Linked DNA regions of Macaca fascicularis. The protein of the gene in region 1 interacts with the protein of each later gene in a pairwise test. Links are inferred from orthologs where the notes say so. Each region holds a gene or a part of one and is shown on either strand. Other genes may lie near its edges.

Region 1 (3,676 bases):
GGCCTTCTGCGCTGGCCCTGTGGATGGACTGTTCCTTTTTTCCGTGGTGACCTCCTCTCCAGGCTCTGCTTGGTGGGCTTCCCTGGTGTGGCCGCGCCCTGTGTGTGTCTCTCTCTGTGTCCTGCCAGTGGTTTTACCCTATGGTAGGTTACGTCATGCTGTTCTACCACAGGGTAGAACCACGGACAGGATACCGGGGCACCCTCTGCGTCGAAGGACTCCTCGTCTGCCCAGCCACAAACAGCCCAGCAGCCGGGGACTGGCCTCCTTGGGACGTCCCCTTGCTGGTTTAGCTCAAGCCCAAAAGGACTCTGAATTCATGCCTGAGGCTCGCACCCAGGGCACGGGTGTTGATTCAGATGAATGCTTGGAAGTGTGGGAATGGGGATGGTGTTGGGGTCTGGGGTGAAGGGAGGGCAAAGCGCAAGGGTGTGGCGTAGCTGGTGGGTGTGAGGTTTCTAATCTGAAGGCAGCATGGATTACGTTTTCATGGATTGGGGTTGGGAATGTGGTGCTCTGTATTTACATTATGTTGCCCACCAGGTAGAGCGGAAACAGGGTAGTTGCTATTCAAACAGAACCTTTGCAGAAAAATTATTGTCATAAACACGCATCGTGCCCTTGTGTAGTGCACAGCCTATGCAACTGAGCATGGTGACAAGGACCCCCTTTACCATTAGAAGCTCTGGATATTGTGATGTAAAGTCTCGGAACACATCATCTGGGAGCCGACGGGGACACGTTTCCCCAAACATCATCCTCAAATGCAGTTGCCATTCTGTGTAGAACAGAGCCCACCCTGTTCACTGACCAGCTGTTCATATAGGTTAGCGCGGGTGCTTGTCACGGGGCTTGACTCCCTGGGACACGTGTCCCCAGACTACCTGAAACACAACGGTGGAGAGTCACAGCTCCTGTGCAGATGTGCACCAAGGAACCCATTATTCTTGTCTTTTCTTTCTCTTCCCTCACAGAGAGTGGTTTTTCCTCCTGTCTCACGAGGTGCTCAACCCTATGTATTGTTTATTTGAATACGCGGGAAAGAACAATTACTGCCTGCAGATCAACCCTGCCTCCTCCATCAACCCAGACCACCTCACCTACTTCCGCTTTATAGGCAGATTCATCGCCATGGTAAGGGGGCCCCAGGGGTCTGCCTGGTTCCCTCCTCTCCCTCCTCTTCCCTCTCCTGGTGAAGTGTGCCAGGGGCACCAGGGGAATCTGCTCTTTCTCTGAGACCTCCAGGAAGGGGCAGCATTGGAGGAGGCCCTGGGCCTGTTCACCAGGAGGCAGCGTGGCGTGAACAGCAGCCCCCGTGGACTGGCGCGCCCTCTCTGGGCCCCACCCTTCGCCCCCATAGAGCTCGTAACCTAAAAATGTAAAAAGCTGGAGAGAGTTCTGGAGAAACCAGAGCTTTCTCAGTGGCTGTCCCGCAGGTAGTGAAGAGTTTCCACGCTGCTTGTATAGGACTTGTCGAGAGGAAGCCCAGGGTCTCTGGGCCACAGACTTTACTGAACATTAAATATGCGCTCTGTTGAGGGCCTTGGGATGACAGGGCCAGGTGAAAACATAGCTGCCCACCTGCTGCCTGTCTCTGGGAGGTGACACTGTCACGGCATTTGGGAACGTCCCACTGAGACACTAAGCCTTCTGGAAGGACATTTGGAGTCAACACTAGCTTAGAACAAAACCCTAAAGTCTGTGGCCCAGAGACCCTGGGCTTCCTCTCGACAAGTCCTATACAAGCAGCGTGGAAACTCTTCACTACCTACAGGACAGCCGCTGAGAAAGCTCTGGCTTCTCCAGAACTCTCTCCAGCTTTTTGCATTTTTAGGTTACGAGCTCTACGGGGGCGAAGGGTGGGGCCCAGAGAGGGCGCGCCAGTCCACGGGGGCTGCTGTTCACGCCACGCTGCCTCCTGGTGAACCGTAAACTGGCTGGTGCAGGGTGTAGGGACGTATGTCAGAAAGTGGGCCAGTTCTGGGGAGGGGCTTTCCCAGCATCTGTATTTAACTGGAAAGAAGGACACGGTGTGAATAGGGAAAGGGAGGTCCTGCCACGTGCCCCCTGTTGAGGGTCTTGGGAGTGTGGAGAACCCGATTGAGAAGCGGGGACCAGCACGGGAGCCACATTCATAGCTTGAGAAGTTTCAGTTCTCACTTTCCTTCGCTTCTTCCCCTGCCTTCCTGAGCTCCCCTCTTAGGAGGACCCAAGTGTCCCAGGAGCCTGTGACTAAATATGGCCCTTCCCATCGTCGGGGAGCTCTTGGCCAAGGTGCTGGGCTCTGGAAGTGGGCACATTCTTCCCAGGTCTAGAGACCCGCCTGGCCCAGCAGCCAACAGGACAGACCGGTAAAACCCTAGACTATTACTCACCATTGGCCGCCAGCTCTCGCTGTCAGCGGTGTCTGCATTATTTTTGGCTGCCTTTGCCACCCACCCTGAGCGCCAGTGAGTCAGGGCTGCCACCTGGAGCTGCTCTGAGCAAGCCTTTTCTGTGAGCGTGGGACAGACCTTTGCTAGGCTGGGAGCCAGCCGGCCAGTGTGAGGGGCAGATGCGGGCCCGGACGTGGGTTCCCGCGCCAGCTGTCTCTGCCCAGTCCCTGCGGTCTGCAGGGCAGGGTGGGAGTCCCTCTGTAGGTGCAAGTCAGGACAAAGGCGTTGTTTGCTCCCGAGGCCCTCCCGCTGCGTCCGAGGCAGCCGCTGCTGCGGTTCTGTCAGGGAAGGCGGGTGGTGGTAGCGGAGTTTGATACCGAGTATCCGAGAGCCAGTCTTGGCAGTGCCTGGGGAAGGCCCAAGCTCTGTGCTGTGCCTCTTCCTTCCCAGGCGCTGTACCACGGAAAGTTCATCGACACGGGCTTCACCCTCCCTTTCTATAAGCGGATGCTCAACAAGAGACCAACCCTGAAAGACCTGGAGTCCGTCGACCCTGAGTTCTACAACTCCATTGTCTGGATCAAGTGAGCTCCCTCCCCCCTCACCCCACCGCACTGATAGGAGGGACGTCTCTGGGCAGGGAGCAGGTACCGACGGCTTTTATTTTGTCTGCCAGTGTGGCCCCTGAGCTCTTGTCCAGCCTTTAAAAGAGCTAGTGGAGAGGAATGTCCTCTGGGTCCCCCGTGGACAGTTCTAGAATCCCCTCCTTGAGTCAGGAAGCTGTCCCATGTCACTGTTCAGGATTCTAGGCCACCCGTGAACCCTTGGTGTCCCATGGGCAGCAGAGCAGGATCCAGGAAAGACCCTGCCACGATAGACATCTCCCGACTTGGTCTGCTGTGCCCCCAGAGAGAACAACCTGGAAGAATGTGGCCTGGAGCTGTACTTCATCCAGGACATGGAGATCCTGGGCAAGGTGACCACCCACGAACTGAAGGAGGGTGGCGAGAGCATCCGGGTCACGGAGGAGAACAAGGAAGAGTACATCATGTGAGTCTCAGGCGCCGGGGCCTCCGCTCCAGGGGCGGTGCGGAGATCTAGTTGGTTGCAGAGCAAGATGGGCCCCCACCTTGTGGCCCATCGGTCACTGTGGATGCCATCTCCATCTGCCTCGAAGGTGGCTGCTGATGGGCCGTCATGTGATGGCGCGAGCTGGGGGACCAGAGCCGAGGTCCTTAGTTACTGACTCCCGGCTGCACTTTTTCCCCACGTGGGAGACTTCAAGCCTCCAGGGTGGAATT
Region 2 (3,676 bases), on another chromosome or scaffold:
ATATTGACAACCTTAATCTTAACTTTTACTCTGTCGTTTTAAATTATTTGTTCTGTTATTATCATGATAATCAAGATCTAATTACATTTAAAAAAAAATGCCTGCAATGCTATTTCTCAAGACAGCCAGTTCATTGCACACTTAAGAGTAGGTACTTACTTCTGAATAAAGAGGCGGAGGCAAGAACCGAAACTCCTGGATATATGCAAACAGTGGTCCTTGAAGCGCTCTCTCAAAGTCATCACAAGCATTCACTGGTGCAAGATTGTTCCGCCTTTGTTCCTCTGTTACCACTTCTGCATAGCTGGGTGGTGCTGAAGGAAAAAGATACACGCAATTCGAACAGCATGTTCTTATGCATGTCAAAATACACAAAATAGTAGGTATTAAAAAGCAATGTCAAGGTAAAATAATAATTATTTGTTTGGTGATTAAAACTATGAAGACATATAATCAAAACTGAGTATTAGGGGCACATCTACTTTCTTTAGGGGAAGATTACATTCATCTAGGGTCATAAAATATCAGAAGCAAAATAATTTTCTTGATAATAATAGTAAGAAATTAAGCTTAGATATGTATTATCAAATTACCTTCAGGTCTTTCAGGAAGTGATAAACTGAGCCAGTTCATATTCATGCTACACTGACTGCTTACACTTGAGGTTCTGCTACCAAATGGATGTAGAGGAATGGTACCGATGACAAGTGGCAAATTAAGAAATAAATCCATAGCTCCAGGAATATCCACATATACCTAAACATTGCAAAGAAATATTACGTTTAGAATGCCAAGTATGATTTCCTTTTCAAAAACTAATAACCAATTTTAATGTTATTTGAAACCCCCATTTACTTCATTTTTTATCTTACATACATGAAAAGTTTCTCTTTTATGTATAATTCTATATAGTACATTTACATATAAGGTATAATTATAAGTCAAACTATATAAAGAGTTATGTATTTCATATGTCACTATATATGGAATTAAAAAACCTGGATGTAAGACAAAATTATGTCTCCATAACTTTAAGATTAAAAACAAAACAAAACAAAACACCAAAGACTTCTTGGGCCAGGCACTATGGCTCAGCCTCTAATTCCAACACTTTGGGAGGCCATGGTGGGTGGATCACTTGAGCCCAGGAGTTCAAGACCAACCTGGGTGACATGGTGAAACTCCATCACGACAAAAAATACAAAAATTATCCAGGCCTGGCTACAGGCACACTTGTATTCCCAGCTACTTGGGAGGCTCAGGTGGGAGGACCACTGGAGCCCAGAAAGCAGAGGCTGCAGCAGAGCTGAGACTGTGCCGTGGCACTCCAGCCTGGGTGACAGGTGTTTCAAAAAAGAAAAAAGAAAGGAAAAAACCTCTTAAATGTGTACATACCATTAGTGAATATTCCACACGGATTATACTACAGTCGAGGATAGAGGGAGAAACTGGTGGAATTTTCAGCAACTTGCCATTCCACGTCTCTGTCTTTCCAGATGATAAGGATTCCCCACGCAAGTTAGCCACAAGCTGTTTTACTTCCTTCATTTTCCCTTTGGCATAGAAGGCCTGTGTTTGGTAAATGGCTGCCTTTGGCACCACCATTCGGGAAGAGCAGTTCTCAATCTCAGCAAATATCTGAATTGATTCACCTAGAGAGGGAAAAATATATACATATCTACTGTTAGAAAAAAATAACAAAAGAAATCAAGAATCTTTTTTTTTTTTTTTTGAGAGAGTCTCGCTCTGTCGCCCGGTTAGAAAAAAATAACAAAAGAAATCAAGAATCTTTTTTTTTTTTGAGAGAGTCTCGCTCTGTCGCCCAGGCTGGAGTGCAGTGGCCAGATCTCAGCTCACTGCAAGCTCCGCCTCCCGGGTTTACGCCATTCTCCTGCCTCAGCCTCCCGAGTAGCTGGGACTACAGGCGCCCGCCACCTCGCCCGGCTAGTGTTTTTTTTTTTTTTTTTTTTTTTTTTTGGTATTTTTCAGTAGAGACGGGGTTTCACCAGGTTAGCCAGGATGGTCTCGATCTCCTGACCTCGTGATCCGCCCGTTTCGGCCTCCCAAAGTGCTGGGATTACAGGCTTGAGCCACTGCGCCTGGCCAAGAAATCAAGATTCTTAAAGCTAAAGTAAGAAAGAGCAACTAACATGCACGAAAAGGTGTCCTAGGAACTGCAAATAACTTAAGAGTCATAGAAATGAACTCATCAGTAGCTATTTGAAAAAGGAAACTACATTCTATTTTGTGAAAAAACAAATGGAAAAGCACAATTTGTAATTTCACAAAAGAATACGATATTATGTTGATATTTAATAGTTATATTATAAATTTATACACAAAAGCTAAGTGAAGAAAGTTTTTTGTGGGAATCTACCTCATACATACCTGGGGTATAGCCCTTCCTTTCAATTTTGGCACTTAAGGATATTGGGCCTGAGGTACAGAACCAGCAACAGAGTGTCTTTTCTTTTGTGCCTGCTTGGGGTGACTGTAAGAAAACAATTTAGAGAAAAAGGTCAGTGTATGGATTGGTACAATCAATACCAGAATATTTTAAAATATAATCCTAAATTTGTGGAAAAATAAAAATTAAAACTGGTTTTGCTTTTTTTTTTGGATCCAGATATACTTCTTATTTTTTAACTAATTGATGGTTTTGAATTATACCATTACTTTTATTTTTATATAAATTTCCATTCAATTAGAAAAAAAAGGTAAAGGGTGTACAGCGTTTCCCATAAACAGTTTTTTAGTTCACACTATTTACAAATACAGTAATGAAAAACCAACCAAATAAAAAAAACCCTTTCCACATTCCATTTAAACTGCCTTAAAAAGGCAGCACAGAAAGCAATCTGACTATAATTCCAAATGTTAACATCTTCCTCTGAGAATATAAAAAAAAATGTAAAAAAAGGAAAATGCCCATTTCTTATTTGCTTTAAAGATGTTATCATTTGTTTAAACCAAATACAGTTTTAAGTCAAATTTGATTTATTCTCAGACAAATGCAATTAAAAATAGATTCTTTTAAAAAAGGAGTTTTTTTAATGAAACGAATGATTCCCCATTATTTGACAACTATCCCTCTATTGGAATAACAAAGTATAGTACAAATTTTAGATTATGATGTTGTCAAGTTAAGTGATATTGTATTACAATAAAAGATACTACTGTCCTTCTTCCACTCAAATCATCCAAGGACCAGATCTGTTTGTTGTTATGGCTTTTGTTACTCATATTGTGAGTAAGAGATACTTCATATCATATACTGGTCTTAGTTTCATATTTACTTAAAGGTACTACAATGTCAAAAATGTGAGCATATTTTTCATTAATTTCAGTGTTCTTGACTGTATTTAAGAAAATGTATATTTATGGAATTTTAAAAGAAAACCAGTATTTTTAAATTATGACAACTGCATAGTTTAGGTGATTGATTATTCTTTAATATTTATATGCCAAAAACAAAGAATGAATAATTCAGTCAATTCTTACCAGTAATGAAGGAGTGTTGATATCTATATGCTCAAAGACTGTAAATTCCTTCTTTAATTTTACTGGTAGTAGCCAAGGCCTGTGCAATTCGGCTTTCACCCAATAGCGCACACTGCCATGTCGGCCTTCGAATGAGGTAGCAAGTGGTCTGTGCAGAATATAAAGGTCAATATAT
Region 3 (3,676 bases), on another chromosome or scaffold:
CAAGCAATTCTCTGCCTCAGCCTCCCGAATAGCTAGGATTGCAGGTGCCCACCACCACGCCCGGCTAATTTTTTGTATTTTTAGTAGAGACGGGGTTTCACCATCTTGGCCAGGTTGGTATTGAACTCCTGACCTCGTGATTCACCTGCCTCAGCCTCCCAAAGCGCTGGGATTACAGGCGTAAGCCACCGCACCCGGCGAGAATAACCTGTTTTATCCTGTACTCTTCTGTGCTGTCTAAACTTTTGTTAAACATGAGCATGTATTATTTTCATAAACATAACTTGACATGGAACGGTGCAGAGATCACAGCAGATGCTGGCCTAAGCTGGCAGTTCTTTGCCCTGTTTTCCCTCTGGCCTCCCTTTACTAAGTGACACCTGAGTCTATTCTTTCTAGATCACTTTTCTTCCAAACAACGTATTTTCTCAGTTCTACAAACATGTCATCACTACACTGGTTGACTATACAATACCTGGGTCAACTCTCACCAAGGAAATATCTGCTTGATGAAGCAATGTATGGTTGGCCTGCTTTTCTGATATGATATTTAGCAATGATGTAGTTCTCTTGAGTTCATCACAGTTTTGTCTGCTTGGACACAGTATTGCACGATCCAGTCTCTTTTCCAGTTGTAGCTCTGACCAAGGTGGCTGGTGTCAGGATATTACAATGGACGGACCTCTCTGACCTTCCCCTTCTCTTGTTCCTACTCACCTTCATCTCGAAGCACACACGGCCCCTTCTGACCCCATAGCTGGCACGGGCTCCTGACCACAGGTAGGCAAAGCCCTCAATTGTGAGCGGATAGCCACTACTCCGATCTCGGGCCACTTTGAAGTGGAGGTCGCAGTTATCTGTGAAGGAAAAAGCCCAGTTGGTTCATGTTTTTGTTTTGTTGAGACGGAGTTTCGCTCTTTTTGCCCAGGCTGGAGTGCAATGATGTGATCTTGGCTCACCCCAACCTCTGCCTCCCAGGTTCAAGCGATTCTCTTGCCTCAGCCTCCTGAGTAGCTGGGATTACAGGCATGTACCACCACACCTGACTAATTTTGTATTTTTTAGTAAAGACAGGGTTTCTCCATGTTGGCCAGGCTGGTCTCGAACTCCTGACCTCAGATGATCTGCCCGCCTCAGCCTCCCAAAATGCTGGGATTACAGGCGTGAGCCACCATGCCCGACCTGGTTGATGTTTCAAAAGTCCTAAGAAACAGGCAGAGGGAAGTTCCCCAAGTGCTGACCAGGAGTACACAAGTGAACACATCTTGGGGGCTTAAGCCATCCTCCCACTGCAGCCTCCTGAGTAGCTGGGACTACAGGGATATGCCACCATGCCCGGGTGATTTTTATATTCTTCGTAGACAGGGTTTTGCCATGTTGCCCAGACTCAAACTAGATTTTAGAATACAAAAAGGTTGATCACCACCACCATATATTCCGCCCTCTGTGCTAATTCTATCAAGTTGGGAACCAGACTTCTGTTTCCAACAGCTATACAGGGATCTGACCCTGATCCACACCTGCCACCCAGGAACCAATGCCCAGGTGCCCCATAGGCTCCTAATTCCTCTCATAGGCCTAGGATTTTCCTACTGTTGCTCTTACCCTTCTCAATATTCAAGCAACCAGTCATGCCTCCAAGAAAGCCTTTCCTGACCATCCCTCCCATGAGGCACTCTCCTTTCTCTGAAGGCTGACCACTGTGGTCGGTACATTTCCATTTCATCAGACACTGCCTCATGAACCACTGCCCCCCAACACTTTTTAAACAATGTTTACCTCTACTCTGGGTAGATTTTGTCTTTGAGAGCTTGCGATATTAGAGACCGTATATATCTTTATCTCTTACAGAAGCATGTAGCCAGTGCTTTATAAACATAAGCTTCTGTAGAAATAGATGAATAAATTGCTGCTTATCTTCTGCTCTGTTGAGAAGTGCAGTGTTCTCAGACCTGACTGGGCTTCTGGGTGCATATAAAAATTCAGATTCACAGGCTCTTCATTAGACTCTGACTAGGAGGTCTGAGGAAAAGGACCTTTATAAGAAATCCTCCAAATGCTCAGATGCGCAGCAAAGGTGAAAGCCACTTATCCAGTGGAAAGAAAGCTGAAGTGGAGGACAGACAGCAGGGTGGGCCAGGTTTGTGCCTCAGAGGACACAGTGACATTGGTTTCACCAAGAACGTGAGCAGCTGATGGAAACGGGAACTAGTTGTCAAAAGAGTTAAGTTTCCCCAGCAGCACTCAGATTCCCTTCCTGATTAGATGACAACCTCTGTGTGTACAGGGCAGTTCAGGGTTTTCCAAATTGCTCCTGTATCCACTGAGGAGTCTCCCTGAAAGTCCTCTGAGGTTATTACGGCAGAATTAACTGAAGGGAAGCTCAGAGAAGTAGAATGACTTGCCCAGGGTCCCACTGCTAGAGTTGGGAGTAGGTCTTCTGCCTCCAAACCAGGACTCTTGCTCCAGAGCTAAGCTGTGTGTCACATGTGGACTAACAATGTCTTTGGACGGTGCCAGGCAGGGATTCTGGTGAAGGTCAAGACACAATTTCCCCATACTGACTAAAAGGCAGAATTAGATGGGCACTCCAAAGACTTACAGGTGTCAATAGCAACAAGGGTATCATCAAAGTCATCTTCATCCTCTTCAGCAGGAGGCTGAGGAGAGCGGCCCCTGTGTTAGAAACGGGGGTTAAGTCACACAAGAACAATACATGAGCACAAAGGAAAGAAAATGAATGTTCTGCTATAATCTACAAGTGGCCTCCAGACTGCTTCCTGAATCTCCATTTCTTCCCACAGAAGTGGGCAAAAGAACTCTGGAACCATACATCCTTGCAATGAGAGCAATGACCATCAACTCCTAGGGTGGAGACAGGGATTGGAGAGGGCATGCTCTGCTGAAGGGGGCATCAGAATCATTTAGGGAACTTTTTTGCTCTTTTTTTACACCCTAAGATTCTAATCCATACCCTCTGCATGTTGACAACCACTTCCACACTGATCTCCGTTACTGTTTGGAGGCTGTGGTATCTCAAAAGGGTGCTGTCCAGGAAGGGGCATGTGCAAGAGCCTAGATAAATCCCAATAATTACTATCTATCCATGTACCAGGCTTCTTAAAATCCTACATCTGAGAGAATTTGAGATGACCCATTTTTTTCAGTGTCCTAAATTATAAATGATATTCATTTTCCTACCAAAACACTAAAAAAGGGACTTAACACTGTTGGTTTCTGCTGTACAGGAATGAGGAAGAAGGGTAGAAAGGTAGAGTCTAACTAACACTCAGGGTCCTGCCTGGACAGTCTGGGTGGTCACAGTGCACTGCATGCACAGATGGGGAGCCCATGCCCATTTGGCTGCTGACTCTCCCAGCAGCAGCCTTCCCTCTGGTGGAGGGCCCCTCTGGCCTCGCCAGGCCAGGGCTAACACAGATGAGTCTCTTTCCTGAAGAGCAGCTCAGAGAAGCAGAATGACTTGCCCAGTGTCCCACTCATGAAGGAGACTCATGAGACTCATCTTATGAGTCTGTGCTCATCACATGTTAAGTCCATTCTACGAAACTTTCCCTGCCAGCCCAGGATCAGAGCGAGTGTTCTTCCTCTGCTCTCCATCAGCAAGTAGCTTCTAGGCCTCTGCTCTGTGGCAAGCAGTGGAAGAACACCATATGAG

The links.
Region 2: the proteins of WWP2 (region 1) and ARRDC3 interact in binary tests that used the Homo sapiens proteins (3 or more experiments, as listed by UniProt). The link is inferred for Macaca fascicularis from reciprocal best matches to the Homo sapiens genes WWP2 and ARRDC3.
Region 3: the proteins of WWP2 (region 1) and HNRNPUL1 interact in binary tests that used the Homo sapiens proteins (3 or more experiments, as listed by UniProt). The link is inferred for Macaca fascicularis from reciprocal best matches to the Homo sapiens genes WWP2 and HNRNPUL1.

What each region holds. Positions count from the first base shown.
Region 1 is NC_088394.1:66,047,124-66,050,799, forward strand, and holds part of WWP2 (NEDD4-like E3 ubiquitin-protein ligase WWP2), read left to right. Parts: intron 1-974; coding exon 975-1,134; intron 1,135-2,825; coding exon 2,826-2,959; intron 2,960-3,284; coding exon 3,285-3,425; intron 3,426-3,676. UniProt on the Homo sapiens protein: E3 ubiquitin-protein ligase which accepts ubiquitin from an E2 ubiquitin-conjugating enzyme in the form of a thioester and then directly transfers the ubiquitin to targeted substrates.
Region 2 is NC_088380.1:95,368,758-95,372,433, forward strand, and holds part of ARRDC3 (arrestin domain-containing protein 3), read right to left. Parts: intron 3,650-3,676; coding exon 3,502-3,649; intron 2,492-3,501; coding exon 2,389-2,491; intron 1,653-2,388; coding exon 1,396-1,652; intron 757-1,395; coding exon 594-756; intron 353-593; exon of another isoform or gene 315-352; coding exon 160-314; intron 1-159. UniProt on the Homo sapiens protein: Adapter protein that plays a role in regulating cell-surface expression of adrenergic receptors and probably also other G protein-coupled receptors.
Region 3 is NC_088393.1:48,413,651-48,417,326, reverse strand, and holds part of HNRNPUL1 (heterogeneous nuclear ribonucleoprotein U-like protein 1), read right to left. Parts: intron 2,677-3,676; coding exon 2,603-2,676; intron 858-2,602; coding exon 718-857; intron 1-717.